2 linked regions of the Canis lupus familiaris genome follow. The protein of the gene in region 1 interacts with the protein of each later gene in a pairwise test. Links are inferred from orthologs where the notes say so. Each region holds a gene or a part of one and is shown on either strand. Other genes may lie near its edges.

What was found.
Region 2: the proteins of C15H1orf94 (region 1) and VENTX interact in binary tests that used the Homo sapiens proteins (3 or more experiments, as listed by UniProt). The two-hybrid records come from large-scale screens. The link is inferred for Canis lupus familiaris from reciprocal best matches to the Homo sapiens genes C1orf94 and VENTX.

What each region holds. Positions count from the first base shown.
Region 1 is NC_049236.1:7,757,721-7,767,242, reverse strand, and holds the start of C15H1orf94 (uncharacterized protein C1orf94 homolog), read left to right. Parts: upstream 1-4,661; 5' UTR 4,662-4,767; exon of another isoform or gene 4,768-4,779; intron 4,780-5,286; 5' UTR 5,287-5,934; coding exon 5,935-6,263; intron 6,264-9,522.
Region 2 is NC_049249.1:41,345,407-41,354,930, reverse strand, and holds VENTX (homeobox protein VENTX), read right to left. Parts: upstream 5,818-9,524; coding exon 5,583-5,817; intron 4,017-5,582; coding exon 3,856-4,016; intron 3,323-3,855; coding exon 2,942-3,322; 3' UTR 2,506-2,941; downstream 1-2,505. UniProt on the Homo sapiens protein: May be involved in ventralization.

The DNA of each region.
Region 1 (9,522 bases):
CGCTTTTACTTTAATAACTAGTAATAAACAATAGTCGGCATCTGTGCCGAGAACCTGGCATTTTCCTATCCGAAGCTCTTCCCCCTCGGCACCTGGCACCGGTCTCTTGTTTCGATCGCTTTGCAGATGACGAGACGCCAGAGAAGTTAAGCGTGTGTGAAGGCCCCGTAGTCGCAGCAGAGCGGGAGTTCAAGGACGTCCACCCCACAGCCTGAACTCTTAACGATCTCCTCACATGCGGGCAAGGAGTGGGGATGAGAACAAGAGGAGAAATCCCCTGGGTGAGGGTGAGGATTGCTCATGTTGCTGCCGGGAGGGAGAAGCCAGAGTCAGCTCTGCTTCTAGAGCATTCTGGTGTCCTTTCCAAAGTCCTGGAGGTGGCCGGGCGCTCTGTGGCTGGGTTCGGTTTCGGGGACAACATCCAGGAAGGCCTGCACCTGTGACACATGGCTGCACCCTCCTCTACCTCTAGCTCTGATGGTTTGTCCCTCGGGAAATTTACCTGGTATCCCCCTCGGCATCTGCCCCCACCCCCGGCCCCCTCTCTGGGCAGCCGGACCCCTTAGGGCACCGTTGGCCTGGGGATGAAGGGGGGTCCTCTATGGGGTTTGGGGGGGCCTGCAAGGAAGTTTGAGACCTAAACGTGTTTTCATTAGCTCCACAATACCAAGATATAGAAAACTGCAACATTAAAATCAGTAAATACAAAAATAAATAAATAAATAAAATAAAATAAAATCAGTAAATATTTAATTAAATGCAAAATGTGACGTTACGTCAGCTTCATTAACGGCTGGATTTAGTAGTCATGAAAATTTCATCACGTTTGATGACAATTTGTAGGTTGGAGTCTCCTCGCTGTGCAAGATTTCCCAGGTAAAGCACCAAGAGCCGTAAGAAACGAGAGCCGACCGTAGATTAAATAAATCACTCATGGCCAAACATTTTCAAAAGCAAAATGGCAAAAATCCTTTCAATTTTCTTTTCCAGCCAAAAAAGTTATATTTGTGGTGAGAGGTGGGTGTGTTTAAACTATGTTAGATGAGGGATAGGGCCCTCCAAGAGGAAGCTGGTTTTGGCCCGTGAAGGTCTTAACAGAGCACAGGCTGCACCCACCACCTGGACGTGTTCCCCACCCTGGCCGGCAGGTGACAGCGACCAAGGCCCTGTGAGTGAGTGGAGGCTTCGGCTGGGGAGTAGGGAAGGAGAGTTGCTTCTTCCTGAGGTTTTCCTGCTTCCAGACTGAAAACCGAGGCTCTCGGAATCCTAGATAATGGTAGCTAACATTCACTGGCCCCTGTCCTGAGCTCTGTACCTGTCACAGAGCAGCTCCACGAGGTCAGCATTTTATTGTCCCCGTTTCACCAGATGAGCAAATGGGGGTATACCGGGGGCAAGCAATCTGCCCAGCATCATGAGGGCAGTAACAGGCAGTTTAAGAATTTGTTCAAACCAATCGAACCCACCGTTCAAGGTGCCAATGGCGGCCTGGTCCCCGCATTCAACGGTCGCCCATTCCACGGACACCACTCCATGTGCTGGGCACCGAGACGCCTGCGTGCTGCAGGGGCACCACGACATACATTGAGCAGGACCCCAACAGGCTCTGATGTCCCCAAATCTGCTGTGTGCCAGGGACTTCTGGAAAGCTTCGCTCCCTTCGCGCGCCTATGACGACGTCTAAGTTAGAGGTTTTATTCATCTCTTCACCCTGTGTCTTGCACAATCTTGGCCCGTGGCAGGCGCTCAAAAATGAACAAAGCCTGGAAGGGCTTAGTTGATGACTTGAGTCTGTCCCTTCCTCACAGAGCAATTTCCCCAGTGCAGCTCAAGTCCTCCCCTCCCTACGCGTTGCACAAAAGCTGTTATTTAGAAACCCCGGTAGCACACATTTCAGCGTAATCAACAAAGGGACGGATATACGGCACTGCTGTGCGTCTCTTACGGGCCACGCGTCCCGTGTGTTAAGTCGTGACTCAGGAATAGCACGTCCACCATGATTCTGCAAAGCAGGTGTTCTTTGTTATCATCCTGTTTTATAGATACGACCAAGTGTTAGGAGCTAAATAGTGTCCCTCCAAATTCATATGTTGAAGCCCTAACGACCCCCCCAAAAAAACTCAAAATATGGCTCTAGGTGGAGATGGAACCTTTAAAGAGTGATTAAGGTAAAATGAGACTCTGGATTGGCTCCTAATCTGGGATGACTGGGGTCCTGATAAGAGGAGGACAGGTGCACCGAGCGAAGACCATATGAAGGTACAGGGAGAAGCCAGCCAGCCAGGAGCCCACGAGACGCCCTGCCGACACCCTGGTCTTGGAATTCCAAGCTTCCGGAACCGGGAAGAAATGCATTTCTCGGGTTTAGCCTCCCTTCCTGCGGCATCCCTAGAGAACCAACAGGCCAAGGCACAGGGTAATCTGTCGCCAGAACCCATGAACTCAGAAGTCGAGTCCGGGTAGTCTGGCTCTAGAGCCCATGTGTCTCATGACCACGCAGATGCCCCCCACGCAGTCCAAAATGGCAGCCGCGAGCCACATGCGGCATTTGAAATGTGGCCGATGTAACTAAGGAACTCAGATTTTAACTTAATTTACATTAAAATAGGATTAAAATGAAAATAGCCATATGTGGCTAGCAGCTACCATATCAGACATAGTTTTATACTATTTCGAATTACTTCGCTTATGTTTTCTGCAGAATCTTCTGGAAACCTCAGCTGTGTGCTCCAAGAAACATTCCCTATCCCTGCTGAATTTTATTTTATTTTATTTTTTTTTCAATCCCTTCCAATTTAGCCCCTGTTGCCTAGCCTCCTGCTGTGGGGGGAGAAGGAACAGGAGCGAGTGAGCTGGCTAACTTTCCAGAATCCTGTGGCCGGGGCAGGGCCGGGCTGTTGGCCTTCTGCTCTAAGCATGGGTGTTAGCCAACCAAATGCCAAGCAGCACAAACACTGAGTGACATTTTCAGAACTATTAATATTTCATCAGAAATGATCACTTTTCCTTTAAATACACTATCTTAAAAGGTTTTCTACATTCTTAACTATAATTTTATTCAGTCTAGGTCCTCAGAATTTTCCCCAAAGGAGCACATCTTCAATTTTATAATGAAAATCAAAGGCGAATGAAGCTCGGATTTCAAAATTGAGAGTCAACATTCCCAGGAACTCAGGCCTTCTTTAAAGAGCAAAGCTGTGTATTGGGCGCCGACTGTATGCCAGGTACTTTACAAATGATATAGCATTAATTCATCCAACATGTATTTGTTGAGTGCCTACTATGTGCCAGAAATGTGGTTTTCATAAGAATTTTCAACACCATTTTATAAAAAAAAAAAAAAAGGATTCTCCTTCTGTCTCATCTCCAATGTTACACCTGAGCTCCTCAAGGAGGCCTACCTGGCCATCCATCTGATGCTGCCACCTTTCCCCTCCCCCTGTCCTCCCCTATGCCTTCCCTCTACCTGTTGGGGTCCTTTGTCCAGTCTTTATAGGACAGGTGACCAGGGTCCTAAGGTTCCCCGGGTGAAGAGCCAGACCAGGGCTGTATTTCTGCTGCCTCTTTACTGGCCCACGAAGGGGACATTTTTCATTCTGCATGGACCACCCAGTTGTCAATCCAAGGCCCTTGAAAACCCACACTGGCCTAGGCTGAGGGTCGGATGCCCGTGGCTTTCCCTGGAGGCCACTCCGTGATACTTTCCCTTTTCTATGCCCAATTCGAGGCACTGGCACACGTGGTGATGGTTAGTTTCCGTCAGAGCCCTCGTTTCGTCTGTAATTAGTGCTTATTTACTTCGCTAGTGTGCGATCTTTCTCCTTACACTAGAATACAGGCCTCAGGAGAGCAGGGACCGTGCCAGTTTGCTCACCTGCATGCGTCCTCGGTGCCCGCATCTCACCTGGGGTGCTCAGCCAATCCTGGGGAATGAAGGAAGGAAGGCGCATAGGGGAGGTTAAAAGAGGGGTTGGGCCCCCCCAGCCAGGAGGTGGCCGTGGCTGGTCTCTTCCCATCCACTCTTCTCCCAGTCATCTGGCTCGCTCTCCCTTTCCTGGGTGGACCCCTGACCCCCGGGGCCGTGGAGCCCTGGGCAGGCAAAGTGCCGCATCAGTTCTGAGTTTAATGAAGCCCATCCAGGGAGAGAGGTGAGCTCACTGGGCCGCAAACTGCTAACCTAGCCCTTCTCTCTGGCCAGGAGCCCCTGACCCCACTGCCCCCCGCTCCCCCTCCACCCTGGGGACCTGCTGAACCCAGCTCAGGAGGGATCCCTAAGGCCGTGACGGTTGGGTGGGGCCTGGAGGGTGGGGGCCTGGGTGTGAATCCCAGCTCCTGTCTTCCTGGTGGGCTCTGGACCGACCCCCTCTGACCCGCAGACTGCGTTTCCTCCAGGCCCCACCGGTAACAAAGGTACTAACTTCACGAGCTTGGTGGGTTGGCTAGGACACGGGAAGCCCAGAGCTTGGCACACGGTAAGCGCCCCCCAAAAATGTCAGTTTGGGTCCACATCGGCGGTTCCGGGCAGGGCCCCCGGCAGGTGCAGAGCTTGTGCATGAGCGGCGGGCGCGACGGGGCAGGTGCAGGTGCAGGTGCCCCCGGGTCGTCCCGGCCCCGCCCCCACCTGCCCGGGGGCCTTGGGCGCCGAACCCCGAACCCAGCGCCCGCGCTCCGCTCCGAGCCGTTGCGCTTGGGCCGCAGAGGAACCCGGCGCTGGGCCCAGGGTGTGGGCGCCGGCAAAGTCGGCCCAGGCAGCGGGCCTGCGGGCAGGTGTCTGCTGGGGTAACGGGGGGGGGGGGGGGGGGCACCCCGGGGTCTGCCGTCCGGAGCCCCAGGGCGTGGGGGCGGGGTCCCTGGGAGGCCCCGGGACGGTGGGCGGGACCCCGAGGGCTGACCCCGCCCCTGCCGCGCCTAGCACCTGCCCCCGGCCCTGACCCAGCACCTGCCCCAGGCCCTGACGTAGCACCTACCCTAGGCCCTGACCTAGCACCTGCCCTGCACCCTGCCCCAGCACCTGCCCCAGGCCCTGACCCAGCACCTGCCCTGCACCCTGACCCAGCACCTGCCCCGGGCCCTGACCCAGCACCTGCCCTGCACCCTGACCCAGCACCTGCCCTGGGCCCTGACCTAGCACCTACCCTAGGCCCTGACCTAGCACCTGCCCTAGGCCCTGACCCAGCACCTGCCCTGCACCCTGACCCAGCACCTGCCCCAGGCCCTGACCCAGCACCTGCCCTGGGCCTTGGCCTAGCACCTGCCCTGGGCCCTGACCTAGCACTTGCCTGCCAGGTCATGACCTAGCACCTGCCTGCCGGTTCCTGACCTAGCACCTGCACCAGGCCTTGACCCAGCACCTGCACCAGGCCCTGACTCAGCACCTACCTGCCAGGCCGTGACCTAGCACCTGCACCGGGCCTTGACCCAGCAACTGCCCGCCGGGCCCTGGCCTAGCACCTGCGCCAGGCCCTGACCCAGCACCTGCCCACCGGGCCCTGACTTAGCACCTGCGCCGGGCCCTGGCCTAGCACCTGCCCACCAGCCCTGGACTGGGCTGAGGGCTGCAGGTGTCACGGGGGCGTGGCGACGGGACGGCGGGGGCTGCGGGGAGAGCCCGCCCTCCCCCTCCAGCTGTTCCCAGATGTCATTCTGCCCGCCCAGGCACCCGGTTCCTGAGCTCAGGGGGGTTCCACGGTTACTAAGCTACTGGTTTTTGTTGACTTTCAAATATTTTCTTCTACGGGAGAGGGGGAGGGGGGCAAAAGTCAGAAGAGAGCAAATAAAAGCAAATCAAAATAAGCTCCCCCTCCCCAAAAGAGAGCGGTGCTCCATCCTCCCCTCACACCCACCGCGAAGGCCTCTGAGCACAGCCACCTTGCTGAAGCAACAGCCACGCAGAACTGACCTGCGTCTGCCCATCCTCATCTCCCTCTCCGGTGAATGAGGGGTGGTGGTGGATGGTCCCCCTGTCTTCAAGCCCTGGGCGGACGAAGGGGCCTCCGGAAAGACAGGAGGAGGATGGCCAGTGGAAATGGGCTCCCTTCATCCTCAGCCCTGGTGGCCAAGCGCCCCTCCGCCCTGGGCCCATTCCCCAGATACATCTGGATCCACCAGGACACACCCCAAGACAGCTTAGACAAGACTTGCCACGAAATCTGGAAAAGAGTTCAAGGCCTGCCCGAGGCCTTGCAGCCCAGGACCGTGAAGGAACAGCTCTCTGCCCCGGTGGCTGGGACTCCGAGAGACAACGGGCTCAGCTTCCAAGAAGGGTGAGTGTCCCCGTCTGTGGCTGGCACCAAGGGAGGAGGGAGGAGCCGAGGTCCGACCTTCTGGGGGAATGTTCTGGCCCGTTGTTGAGTCTGGTTAAACCCTTAGGCTGTATATGCCTTCTCTCCACCTGTTGGGGTCCTTTGTCCAATCTTTATAGGGTGGGTGACCAGGATCCTGAGCTTCCCCGGTGAAGAGCCAGACCAGGGCTGTATTTCTGCTGCCTCTTGACCAGCCCACAAAGGGCTGGTGTTTTTCCCTTTGCCCAGGCCACCTAGGTGTAGATCCGAGGCCCTCGAAAACCCTCACCGGCCTAGGCTGAGGGTCGGATGCCCGTGGCTCTCCCTCCAGGCAGCTCTGCGATACGTTCCCTTTCCCGCTCCCAGAGGCTAGGCACTGTCACAGATGAGTCTGGTGGTTTTAAACCACATCTGGAATTCCCTAATACAGGGAGCAGCTGTCCCATTCAGCCTCCACAGAAGCCGCTGCAAGAGCGCACATCAAAATATTTACTGGGAAGGCATTGACATATTCAGAGGGCACAATAGAAAATTAAAGTGCGGGAGGATGGCTGTAAATAGCCCTTTTCCTAGTTGGGGAATCCTGTGCCTGGGAAACACAGAGCTCAATGTTGGGCAGATATGATTGGGGCTGGAAATTCGCAGGGAAAGGAAGGAGAGAGCGCGTCAGGAAAAGCGAGCGAAGCGCCACGGCCGTCAGTGCCACTGTGAGCCCCCAGTCATGTCTGGCATCCTCAGAGTGGGCTGCAGACGTTAATTAATCCTCCCAGGGTCCCTAGGAGGCAGGTATTGGTGTCCCCATTTTACAGATGGATTAAGTGTTAATAATTAAGTGCTAATTGAAGACTAAGTGATAATTAAGTGTTGCCTGCTCCAACACATGCTCCAGTTCAAGTCGGAGATGCCGGATGTGGGGTGGGGGGGCATCCAGGCAATCACCAACGATGTCTGGTTTCGGGGATTTCTAGAAAAGAGCTGGGAAGAAAGGCGAAGTGTGTGCAGGTGCCCCAGGTGCACTCCCTGCTGTCCCCTCTCGGGCTGCCGACAAAGGTGGAAGGCACCCGGCTGTCACTGCTCACCCTGCCCTGTGCCCAGCACCATGCGGCTGGAATGGGAATGGCCCGTCTACTGGCCGAATCCTGCCGCCAGCCCCCCAGTGGCGCTGAGCCCCCCCTCTGCTGCCCATTGCCATCTGCTCCGGGATGGAGCCCTGGCAGGGGGCCTCGGGGCTGTGCTCAGCACTCGGTGGCCAAGACGCTGATCGTTCACTTTGTGGACCAAGGGTCAGTGGCAATTTCCAGTAGATGGCACCCTCTCTGCCAGGTCACACTGAGCTAATGGACACAGGTCTGCTTCCAGTCTGCGCTTGGCCCCAAAGTGAACTGGTGCACCTTTGCCCAGTGGCTCAACTCCATCTGGCCTTGATGTCTTTTCATCTGCAAATTGAGGGTCATCTGCCCTGCCTGGTCCACCTCAGAGCTGATAATGAGGATCACAGGCCTCGGAGACAGGAGCCCCCCCCACCCCCCCACCTCCAAAGCTGCATTATGCAAAGGAGGCTGTCCTCACACGGAATTCTCAGAGCTTAGGGTTTTTTTGTTGTTGTTGTCGCTGCTGGCTTCAGTCGGGGGTTGTCACACTCTGCTCTTGGACCCTAAGGGGCTTCAGGGGCCACCCTAGAATCAAGGGGCTAGGTTGCTGGGGCACCATACCCACTTTGGCCAGAGGGCTTGCTTGGCTTTTTGGGGTTTTGTTCCCTGGAGTTTGCAGGAAAAGCAGCATTTGGAAAAACAACAACAACAAAAAAACAATGGTTTTGCCACTGAGAAAGCTCAGAAACCCCCGCCTGAGATGAACACCCCATGTCAGAAGTGTGTGGCCATCACCCAAGTAGAACACGAGGGGCTCTTGTTGAAACCCAGGCAGCCGTGACGGCGGAGCCCCGTAGCTGCTTCAGATCGTGCTGTGGGATTTAACCTCTGCGAGCTTCAGTTTCCTCATCTGCCACGTGGAGACCATCTCCACCACCGCAGTGGCCTGTTGGGATGATTCAGCGGGATATTTAAACGTCCCTGGCAATAATGGTAATAACTAGGATCCGTATAAACTCCTTGGGACAATAACGATGACGATGATGACTTTAAATTATTATGTGAATTATTATGCAATTATTATGTGAGGTTGGTACTATTTTAAACTCTCCCTCTTTTTTTTTTTTTTTTACTTTTTATTATGCAGATGTTCCCATGTATACAATAGAATAAGGTCTGTCTCCGAGGTTCATGAAGTGTCACATTTGTGCCATTCTCGGTCCGATTCCTCCCCTCCCCGGGGTTTTAATGAAACCCGTTTTGCAGAGGAGGTCATAGGCTGGGGGGTTGGGGTCTCTGCCCGGGGCCCCGGTGGTTACAGGGTGCTGGGGTTTCAGAAAGCACACCCAGGTTCACCTGAGCGACCGTGCTGTAGGGAGTGCGGGCTGTTCCCCGGAAAGTGGAAGCGGCGTTTGGGTCCTCACGCCACCCGACAGCCTCGTGGGCTGGATGGTCACACACAGATGGCGGGCTTCGAACCCAGTGAGCTGCCCGGTGTGTCTGCGGGATGGCTGCAAGCCCCTGAGATACCCCTCAGCACGTCTTCCCACTGCTTAACGTGCAGACCCGGTTTGGGTGATGTTTTCTGCTAGATAAGTAAGTTTCAGAACCCCTGTTGGCCAGAAACGTCTTGTGGACTCAATCCCTGTATATCACAAAATCCCAGATGTGTCAGGGTTGAAAGGGGTATCGGAGGCCGTCTTCTGCTGCTTGAATCCCTCAACATCCTCGCCAAGGCGTTACCCGCCCGTACATTTTCTTAGATGACAAGCTCACCACCTCCCGAGATGCGAATGCAGGCTGTCAAGGGACCGTTTCCTTCCTACATGGCATCTGTCTCTATCAAACGAACACCCATGGATCTGGATTCAGATCCACGGGCTTAGGGCTGCAAGCTACGTCAACCCCCTCGTTCTTCCAGCCGCTCTTGAGCTATTAAAGGATGGCGCCGGCGTCCTTCCTGGGATTTCTGGTTTCCGTAGCTGATCGTTGCTGGTTTCCTAAGTTTCCCTTCCCGCGCCAACCCGGTCAGCTTTCTACGCTCACTGTGGTCCCCGTGACAGCGCAGTGACCGGGACCGAGCACGGTAACCCAGGGGTGACCCCAGTCTGTGCAAACTGGATCGTCTCCGTATTCTGTGTTCATGCTAA
Region 2 (9,524 bases), on another chromosome or scaffold:
ACCTGACCCTCTGGGCTCCCGGGTGGTGTTCCCGGGGGGGTCTGGGACTCGCTGCCAGGGGCTCCGGCGGGGCAGGGGGGGACAGGGACAGACGCGCACTTTCCGGGCCCTGACGCAAGCAGTGGCGCGTTGGCAGATAAGTGCGGGCCAGGCTGGCGGGCTCCCAGCTCCGGGCGGCCGCCCCCCGGCCCGGGCCCCGCTCAGCGCTGTGCTCACAGCTCCTCTTTGTGCCCCAATCTCGCAGGCGTGGGGGTGGACGGGGCCTTGGCACGGCTGGACGCGGGACCCACGTGACAGCGGTCGCTCCGCCTGCCCGGCCCCAAGGTCGCTGCCTCGCATAAAGGGGCCCGACGGGCCGGGCTGGAGGAAGAGCTCGGGGCCAGCAGCCCGCGGCCAGGCAGCCGGCTCTCCTCCCAGCTCGCACGCTCCGCCGCCGCCCGGACCCGCCGCCTGGGACCTGCTGCCCGGACCCGCTGCCGCCTGCACCCCCCACCGCCCGGACCTGCCGCCCGGACCCGCGCCCGCGCCCGCTCACGGGCCCTCCCGACGGCGAAGCTGCTCGCTGTTCCTTTTTCCTATGCATATACTTCTTTGAGGGTCTGGCCTGAAGAGGTGTAAGGCATGGGAAAAGGGGGTAACGAGGTCCTCCTCGCGCCACGGAGCCGCCCGGGCCGCCGGGCGAGGTGGGTCCTGATCGATCGCAGGACGAGGCTTTGGTGCGGGCCCCGGGGGCTCTGGACGGGCGCTGGGCCCTGGCTGACCTTTGCCCCCAGGGGCCAGGGAGCGCCCAGAGCCGGGGAAGCTGCTGGGACAGGACGTGGGTGGGGGGCAGGCCGGGGGGCTGGGGCCGGGGTGGCTCCGCAGAGGCTTGGGGGGCGGGGGGCGCTGGGTCAAGGCCTGTAACCGCGAGTGTCGTTCATGTTCTGATCAGAAATGTCAATAAAGCTAATTTCGTGGGAACCTAAATGTGATTGTTTTGATAACTGGTTTGAACCGAAGCCCCTGGGTTGGTGCGGGGCTGTCTCCTGGCTGCCGGGGGGGTGGGGGGCGCGGGGGGCGGGCTCTGGGGAACTTAGGGCGGAGCAGGTGCGACCCCGGGGAAGGGCTGGGATCCGCCGACCGGGGTGGGGGCCAGCGTCCCTGGAGCCTGGGGCCTGAGGTTCCCGTGTAGACAAATGGACAGGAGCTTCCATGGCGACTGTGGGGCCTTGGTTGGCGAGTCGCCCAGCAGACCGGCCCCTCGGCCCCGCGCCCGGCGCCCCCTGCCCTCCTTTGATGGCTCCTCCCCCCAGGGCCGCGGTGGGAGGGGGGTGGGCGGCCCCAGGAGACCTCGGGTGCAGGTGCCGGCCCGGGGCCCAGCACCAGTCAGTGCGGCCAGGAGAGCCCTCTGGGTTCCCGACTGACCCCCCCAACCCCGTAGGCCACTCTGGGGAGGGGGAGGAGGAAGGGGAGGGGGAGGGGCAGAGCCGTCCCTGAGGCTGGTGTCAGCCGCAGCCACAGCGGGGACACCCTCGGAGTGTGGGGACGCCCGCCGTCCTGCGAGCAGTGGGGTGGGGGGCTCGCCCACGAGCCACACTGTGCCTTCCCTGGGGAGGGGGTTCCCAGTCATCCACGACCTGCCCAGTGCGGGGGAGGGTCCTGGGGGCTGCAGGGGGCGCCAGGGCCGCTGCATGGGGGCCTCACGCTGCCCCTCAGGCCATGGCTGCTGGACGAAGGTGGGGTCCCGGGGACAGTCCTCCCTCTCGCCCGGGTGCCCCGGACTGGAACGTGTGCGGAGAATCGTGCCACAGGCCAGGAGCTGCGTGTTCTCACCGGTCGGGTGCCCTGAAGCCAGGCCCGGCAGGGGCAGGGGCAGCGTGTGTTCAGCAAGCCCGTGACCTCCGCTCTGCTGGCAGGGCTGGGGGTGCCCCCCCCTCACCGCCTGGGGCCCTCGGCCTGTGGGCTGGGCCTGCACCCCCAGCCAGCGTCCCTGCAGCCCCGCGGCCTGGACACAGGCTCCACCCCAGGGACCCACAACCTGGCCCCACGGCCACCTGGTGTTTCAGACGTGAGACCTGCAGGGAACCGGGCTGCTCCTGGCCCAGGCTTGGCCCCCCGCGGAGGGAGGTGGGGGAGGCCTGTGGCGCCCGGCCCTTCGGACAAGCGACCTCCGAGGAGCACCAGGTGGCATCCACTATAAAGCCCCCGTTTTCTGTAAACTGGAATGTAGGTTTTTGGCAAAAAGACTATTTCTCTCACAGGCTCCTGGGTCTGTGCTGAGCCCCAGCCGGCTGTCCTGTGCTGGTCACAGCCGAGGGCGACTGCTGGTCATGAAGGCCGCTCGGGTTACAGAGAGGAGGCCCAGGGGTGTCCGCTGCCCGGAGTGAGCTGCTGCTTCAGCCGCGGGATGCCCAAGCTGCGGGGGGGGGCGGATCCCGAGAGCAGAGGGACCACGCAGATGCACCTGGTGACATTTCCACGTTTGCACTCGAGGCTGTTAGCACGCAGCACGAGGAAGTATCCAAATCTTTTTTATGATTTTATTTTTAGGTAAGCTCTCCGCCCGCCGTGGGGCGCGAACTCACAGCCCCAAGATCAACAGTCTCAGCCTCCACCATCAGAGCGGGCCAGGCCCCCGCAGCTTTATTTTTTCCAACACTTTATATTGAATAAATTACTCTCCTATCACAGGCTACGAGCCCAACGTTTCAAAGTCCACTTTCGGCTTTGGGCTTTGTCCCCCGACCCCTCGTCGAGTCCTTAAACCGAGCCTGTAGTATCCAGGGAAGGAGCAGCTGGGTGGGGTGGGGGTTCCAGGTCCCGGCTGCCGAGGGGGCGCAGGGCTCGCAGGGTGGACGTCTCCCGGGGAGATGCGGGGCCCTGCGCGCACCCGCGCCGTGTGGACGGCAGGTCGGCCCCGCTCTGCTCCCGCTCCCGGCGGCCGCTGGGCTGTCACGCGTCCTCAGAAGGCATCCCCGGTCTGGGGCAGGGCACACAGGCCCCGGGGCACCCCGGACAAGGCCAAGGCCGGGCCCAGCTCCTGGCCCCCCGGGTCCGGGAGGCAGCACGTGGGAGGCTGTCTGCTGCACGAGGCCCACGCCAAGGCCACGGAGGCTCGATCCACCCGGCAGAGATCCCAGAAGGGGCCAGGGGGCTGCCCCAGAGCTGGAGGCCCCAGTGGGGGCGCCCAAGGACACAGCAGCCGCAGTGGCCTGCGCAGGGCAGGGGGCGGAGGGCAGAAGGTCACTGGAGGGTGGAGCCCCCCGGGGAAGGGGCTGCTCAGCTGCGAGTCCTGCAGTTGGCGTTTGTGTTTCATCCGGCGATTCTGAAACCAGGTTTTTATCTGCGGGGAAACCTCCATCAGAGCAGGGACGGGAACAGCTGCCCCCCACCAGGCCCGGCCCCCCTCACCTGCACCCCCGGAGAGCCTGGCCTGCACCCCCAAAAGCCTCACCTGCACCCCCGAGAACCTCACCTGCAGCCCCGAGAGCCTCGCCTGCACCCCTGAGCCTCACCTGTAACCCCCGAGAGCCTCGCCTGCAGCCCCAAGCCTTGCTTGCACCCCAAGAACCTTGCCTGCACCCCAAGAAACTCACCTGCACCCCTGGAGAGCCTCGCCTGCAGCCCCGAACCTCACCTGCAGCCCTGAACTTCACCTGCACCTCCAAGAGCCTCACCTGCAGCCCTGAGAGCCTCACCTGCACCCCTGAGCCTCACCTGCACCCCTGAGCCTCGCCTGCAGCCTGAGAGACTTGCCTACAACCCCGAGCCTCACCTGCCGCCCGGAGCCTCACCTCCAGCTCCGAGAGCCTCGCCTGCAGCCCCGAGAGCCTCACCTGCACCCCCAAACCTCGCCTGCAGCCCCGAGAGGCTCACCTGCACCTCAGAGAGCCGCATGTCACGGGCCAGGCGCCGGCGCTCCAGGGGGCCCAGGTAGCGGCGCCGCCGGAAGGCGCTCTCCAGGGTGCTGAGCTGCTCTGCGGTGAAGGCCGTGCGCACGCGGGGCACCCGCAGGCCGTCCCCGTCCCTGCCCCACCCTGAGGGAGGACGGAAACGCCATCAAACGCCATCAAACGCCATCAGCCCAGCCGTCGGCCCACGCGGGATAGAGGGGCCTCAGCACCCAGTGCGTCAGGGCGCAGGCCCCTCCTCTGCCGGCTGGAGTGTGGGCTGGGGTCAGGGCGAGGAGGGCGCCTGGCGAACAGCTCTGCAGCCCCCCAGCAGTTTCGCCCAGGACGGCGGTGCCCCCAGGCTGCCCGCCCCCAACGTGAAGCTCTGGCAAGTCTGCGTCTAGTCCTTTTTTATTGATTTAAGATTTCCTTCCCTTGGGGCGTCCGGCAGACTCCCTGCTGAGCTTGGAGCCCGACCCCGGGATCAGGATCTGGGCCGAAACCAAGAGTCAGACACTCAAGCAGTGTCCCCCGGCGCCCGTGTGTCCGCCGGGAGGCGGCGGGAGGCGCGAGCGCTGGTGTGCGGAGCTCGGCTACCTGGTCGGGCCTCACCCAAATGCCAACGGGCTCTAGTGCTGGTGTGGGGGGAGCAGAGCTTACCAATGACTTTAACACTTCCCTGGAAGCAGGCAGGGGACCAGAGGAGCGACCCTTGCTTCGGAGGGGGCGGGGGCAGGGTGTAAGGGGTCGGGGCGCAGGGATGACTGGCTGGGTTTTGTTGGGGAGGGGGCACTGGTTGCAGAGAATAAACGTAGAATTTAACTTCATTGAAGTATAGCATTTTCCCCTAAGATCAAACTCGTTCAAAAATGAACTTAACAGGGGCGCCTGCCTTTGGCTCAGATCGCGATCCCGGAATTGGGATCGAGATCGCATCGGGCTCCCTGCATGGAGCCTGCTTCTCCCTCTGCCTGTCTCTCATGAATAAATAAATAAATCTTAAAAAAAATGAATTTAACAGATAACATCAATCCCACTTTTGATCACATAGGGCTTTTTTTTTTTTTTTTTTTAAGATCCTATCCATCTGTTCACGAGAGACACAGAGAGAGAGACAGAGGCAGAGGCACAGGCAGAGGGAGAAGCAGGCTCCATGAGGGGAGCCTGACGTGGGACCCGATCCCGGGACTTTAGGATCACACCCTGGGCCGAAGGCGGCGCCAAACCCCTGAGCCACCCGGGCTGCCCTGACCACGCAGGGCTTTAAACCTAAAAGCAATGATTACGTCACAAAGACCGAGAAACGCTCCGCAGTGAACGGCAAGGGGTCAGGGGGACGCCCTGCAGCCGAGGCCCGGAGCTCCCAGGTGCAGACAGCAGGGCGCCCCGAGCCACCCCGCAGGGCCGCCGGTGCACCGCCAACGGGCCGGAGTCCCGAGGCCTGGGCGCCCAGTGGGCGGGCTCTGTGAGCTTCAGGACGTGCGTGTCCAGCCCCGACGGCCGACCGCACGCCGGAAGCCCGGGTCCCCCACGGTGCGAAATGACCGTGTCACGGCTCAGGGCCACACGCCAGCCCTTCCAGGACGTGGGGGTGGGGAGCCCCAGGGGGCCTAAAGACAGGAGACCCCGCCCCCGTGGCTTTGTAGTCCAGGCCTCCCCCCAACCCTCCCGGCTCCCATCTGCGAAGGGAGGCACCCCCCGCCCCAGCCTTACCAGCCGTGGGCGTCCGGGGCGCACACGCTTCTGAAGACTTGGCCTCCTCCACGCCCGCACCGTGCAGGGGCTCCCCGCTGCTGCACCCCCTGGCGGGAGCGGAGGGACCCCCCCGAGGGGCTTCAGCGGGCCTGGAGGGCGGTGACGGCCCCCCGCGGCTGCTCTGGGAAAGCCAGTCCACCGAGCCGAAGCTGGACGGCCCGCGGCCGCTGGGCAGGGGAGGGGACGGAGACATGGCTGCTCACAGGACAGAGGGGGTGACGCACAGGGTCCCCGCAGCACCGACGGCGGCTAAGGCACCAGGTCGTCCGCCGCCTTAGCGTTTATAAGCTCCGGAGGAGGCGGGTGGGAGGCCGGCCTGCGTAGCCGCTCAGAGCCTCGCCCACCCCCAGATAAGTAGCACCTAATTGCCTTCGATTCAGAGGCACAAAGGAGGCCATTCACACCTCCCCCGGCTCCGAGATGTCTGCGGCGGGGCGGGGCTGAGCCCGGGCGGAGGCTGGTCACGTCCTTTCATCCCCCACCCCCACCGGGTGGCCCCTCCCAGCTGAGCACCCAAGCTGGAGGCTTGTCCTTCGGGGTGAGGAGCCGCCTCCTCTCCAGCCCGCGGGGTCTGCGGTGCCGAAGGCGGCAGGTGTGCCCACCTGAGGGAGGGCATGCTTCCCGGAGGGGGAGCAGCATCACCGGCGGGGGTGGGGGCTCCCAGAGCAGGTGCCGCTGCCTCAGGCTGTCCGGCGGGGGGAGGAACGTAGGGCAGGGTGGGTGCTGCTGCCCGGGGAGCACCCACCGGCCCTTCCCTCTCAGACGGTACTCGGCGCCCCCACCCCCGCCTCCACTCTGCAGTGGCAGGAAGGAGGGGTGTCTGCCCTCAGGAGTGCGGCCCCGCCCTGCTGCTCCCGGACGACCCAGCGGGAGGGATGGAGCAGCCCGGTGCTGCCGAGAAGGGCCGCCCCACTGCCCAGCGGGGCCCAGAGCCGCCAGGGACGCGGCAGCCCGGGTTCAAGGCCTGTCCTCTCTCCGGGGACCCAGCCCCCTCCCACCTCCGCTGCTCGCCACCACCACTTTCTGCAGGACGGGACCGAGGGCCAGCGCCTTCGGCGTCCAGGGTGACCTGGGGCAGCCCGGAGCCCCCACCCCCCCACGCCCGCCCCCTGGGTGTGGTGGCCCTAGCCCACCGGCCGACTCCTGGGGGCGCTGGCGCCAGCCTGGGCGGGACCGTGGGATCAAAGGCCCCTCCGGCTGGGCCCGGATTAACACCCCCGGCCGCCCTCCGGCGGGCACAGCGGGAACGGCGGCGCTGACCCCGCCGGGAAGGGTCAGGGGGCCTGACGCCTCCGAGTCAGCGCAGTGGTCCGCCGGTGGCCGCGTCCCGGGCGGCGGTGCTGGCCTGGACCTGGACGGAGAGGCCCCTGCTCTCGGACGCCGTCCTGCCCCTGGGGACCGAGGCCCAGCTGGTGGGGGCTGCGCGGCTCTCGGACCGGGGATGGGGTCAGCACTGCGGACCCCCCGTCCTGTGCGCGGCTCCAGGGGCGCCCTCCCGGTGGACACGACAGGTGCCGGGACTCTGCGTCCTGGTCCCACCTGCACCCACCTGTGAGCAGCGCGCACCCGGTGCTCCCGCGGCGGGCCAGGGTCCTCCCCAGGGGTCCTGCTGCCCACACCCTCCCAGCCCGACCACGCGCCTCCGCACCGCCTGGGCTGCGGCCCCTTGTCCCCCAGGGGTGGGGCTGGGCTTCGTGTCCCCTGGGGTGGGCCCTGCGCGGCCTCCGCCTTCCTCCGAGGCTCAGGACCCGACGCGGGGTGGCCTCGGCCCTGACCGCTGACCTGCCCCCGAATCCCGCACCTGCTTGCAGCGGGGAGGGGCTCCCCAAGCGCACGCCCTGGGTCACTTGGAGGCCCCGGCCGCCCCGCCCCCCGCGTTCCCTGGACGAGACCTTCCCGGGCCTCAGCCCGCCCCCTGGGCTCCATCCCGCCGCCCCGGCCAACCCAGATACAAGGCCCAGGGAGGCCCGCCCTGCGCCAGGCCCCTCCTCCACACCCACCCCAGGAGGAGACTGGGCCGCAGCCCTTCCGGCTCCCCCACGGCTGCTCCTGCTGGAGAGAACCTGGTGTGAGTGTGCAGCTGGGGGGCTGGTTTCCAGGCTGCGGGGTGATGGGGGCACCCAGCCTGCCCGCGCACTCCGTGGAGCAGGGGGTCCAGCGGCAGGGTCCAGGGACATGGGGAGGGAGGCGCTAATCAGCAGGGAGTGCGGCCACTGCCCATCTTTCCGAGATCCCACATTTTGGGGAGACGGGAAGGGTCCTACAAGGGCTGTATCAGAGTCAAGGGTGCGGGGCGCCCACTTGCTGTCCCACGTGTGACATACGTGTGACTCTCTCTATGGGCAGAAAAACCCCAGGGCCTGCATGTCGGGTGCGTCCATGCGGGAGGCCGGGAAGAGGACCAGGACGCAGCCGGGGATTCCGCGGGGCTTGCATGTGGCCCAGTCATGGGCCAGGAGGACATGAGCCTCACCGCGACAGAGCCACTGTTACACTGAAAGGACAAAAAAAAAAAAAAAAAAAAAAAAGCTAGGGTTTCTCTAGATCTAGATCACAAATAATGGTTCTGGGAGACAGCAGCACGTGCATGTGCCCTGGGGGACGTCACAGGGACAAAGTGAGGGGCCGGCCCGCAGACGTCTGGAACACCCCCGTGGACCTGGTGTGGGATTCCAGATGCGCTCGAGTGACACGTCCGGGGAGCTGGGCGGCACACAGATGCTCCTTTCTCACGGGTCCGGAGGCGGGAGGGCCCAGATCCGGGACCCGGGTGCAGGGGTTCCTGGCAGAGCCACCTCCCGGCCAGCGGACGGTCACCACTTAGCACCAATCCCGGTGGCGAAGCTCAAGGCCTAAGCTCACCCCGGAGGCCCCACGTCCTAACACCATCACACCGGGGGGTAGTGGGGGGTAGGATTTCAACACAGGAATTTGGGGACACAAACATCCGGGGCATAATCCAGAGCAGCGTGGTTTCTGGCCGGGCGCCCTCGCCACAGGGCCGGTGAGGGAGGCCGAGGAGGACCCAGGGACGCAAAGTGGGCGCGTCGGTGGTGCAAACACGAGGAAGGAGTCGCAGACCCTGTGCAACCGGGAAGGAGGGCTCGGGCCTCGGCCGAACTGCGGGATCCCGGGGGGGGGGGGCGGGGGGACACGCCTGTCTTACCTCCCTAGTCATACGGAGGACGAACGTCCACCCAGATCTTGGGGATGTGTTCTCTGCACAAATGGCAGGTCAGGGACACGGAGCCCTGCTGCTGTGACTGCGGATTTCGGAGCCTGCCCCAGCGAGTCCCAGAGCAGCCGGGGTTTGAGAAGGTTCCCGCCACGGAAGCGTTTGTCACTGGAGTGTTACACGGATGCTTCTCCCTCTGCCCGCGTCTCTGCCTCTCTCTCTCTCTGTGTGTCTCTCATGAATAAATAAATCTTTAAAAAAAAAGCTAAGAAAATACCACGTGCTGGGGAGGACTCTGAAACTGGAGGCGCTGCTGCTGGGAGCGTGAAATGGTGCAGCCCCGTGGACAACAGCATCAAGCTTCCTCAAAATATTAAAAATGGAATTACCGGCGGTCTCCCCTCCGAGTGCCCCCCAGGATGGGGGCAGGGCTGCATCACACGCTCACAGGCGCCCAGAGGGGGTGGGGACCCGAGTGTCCCACACAGACGGACCTGAAGGAGGAGCACGGCAGCTCTGGCCACACGCAGGAGCGTCTCTCAGCCTCGAGAGGTGCGGACACGCCCCGAGGGCACGAGGCCGAGGGAGAGAAGCCAGACACGGAAGGGCGCCGCGTGATGCCACGTGCATGAGGTCCCCGCGGGGTCGCCTTCCCAGAGACGGGGGCGCAGGGGGCACGGAGGGCGGGGACAGAGCCTCAGCCTGGGGGTGGGGGCCGCACCGCA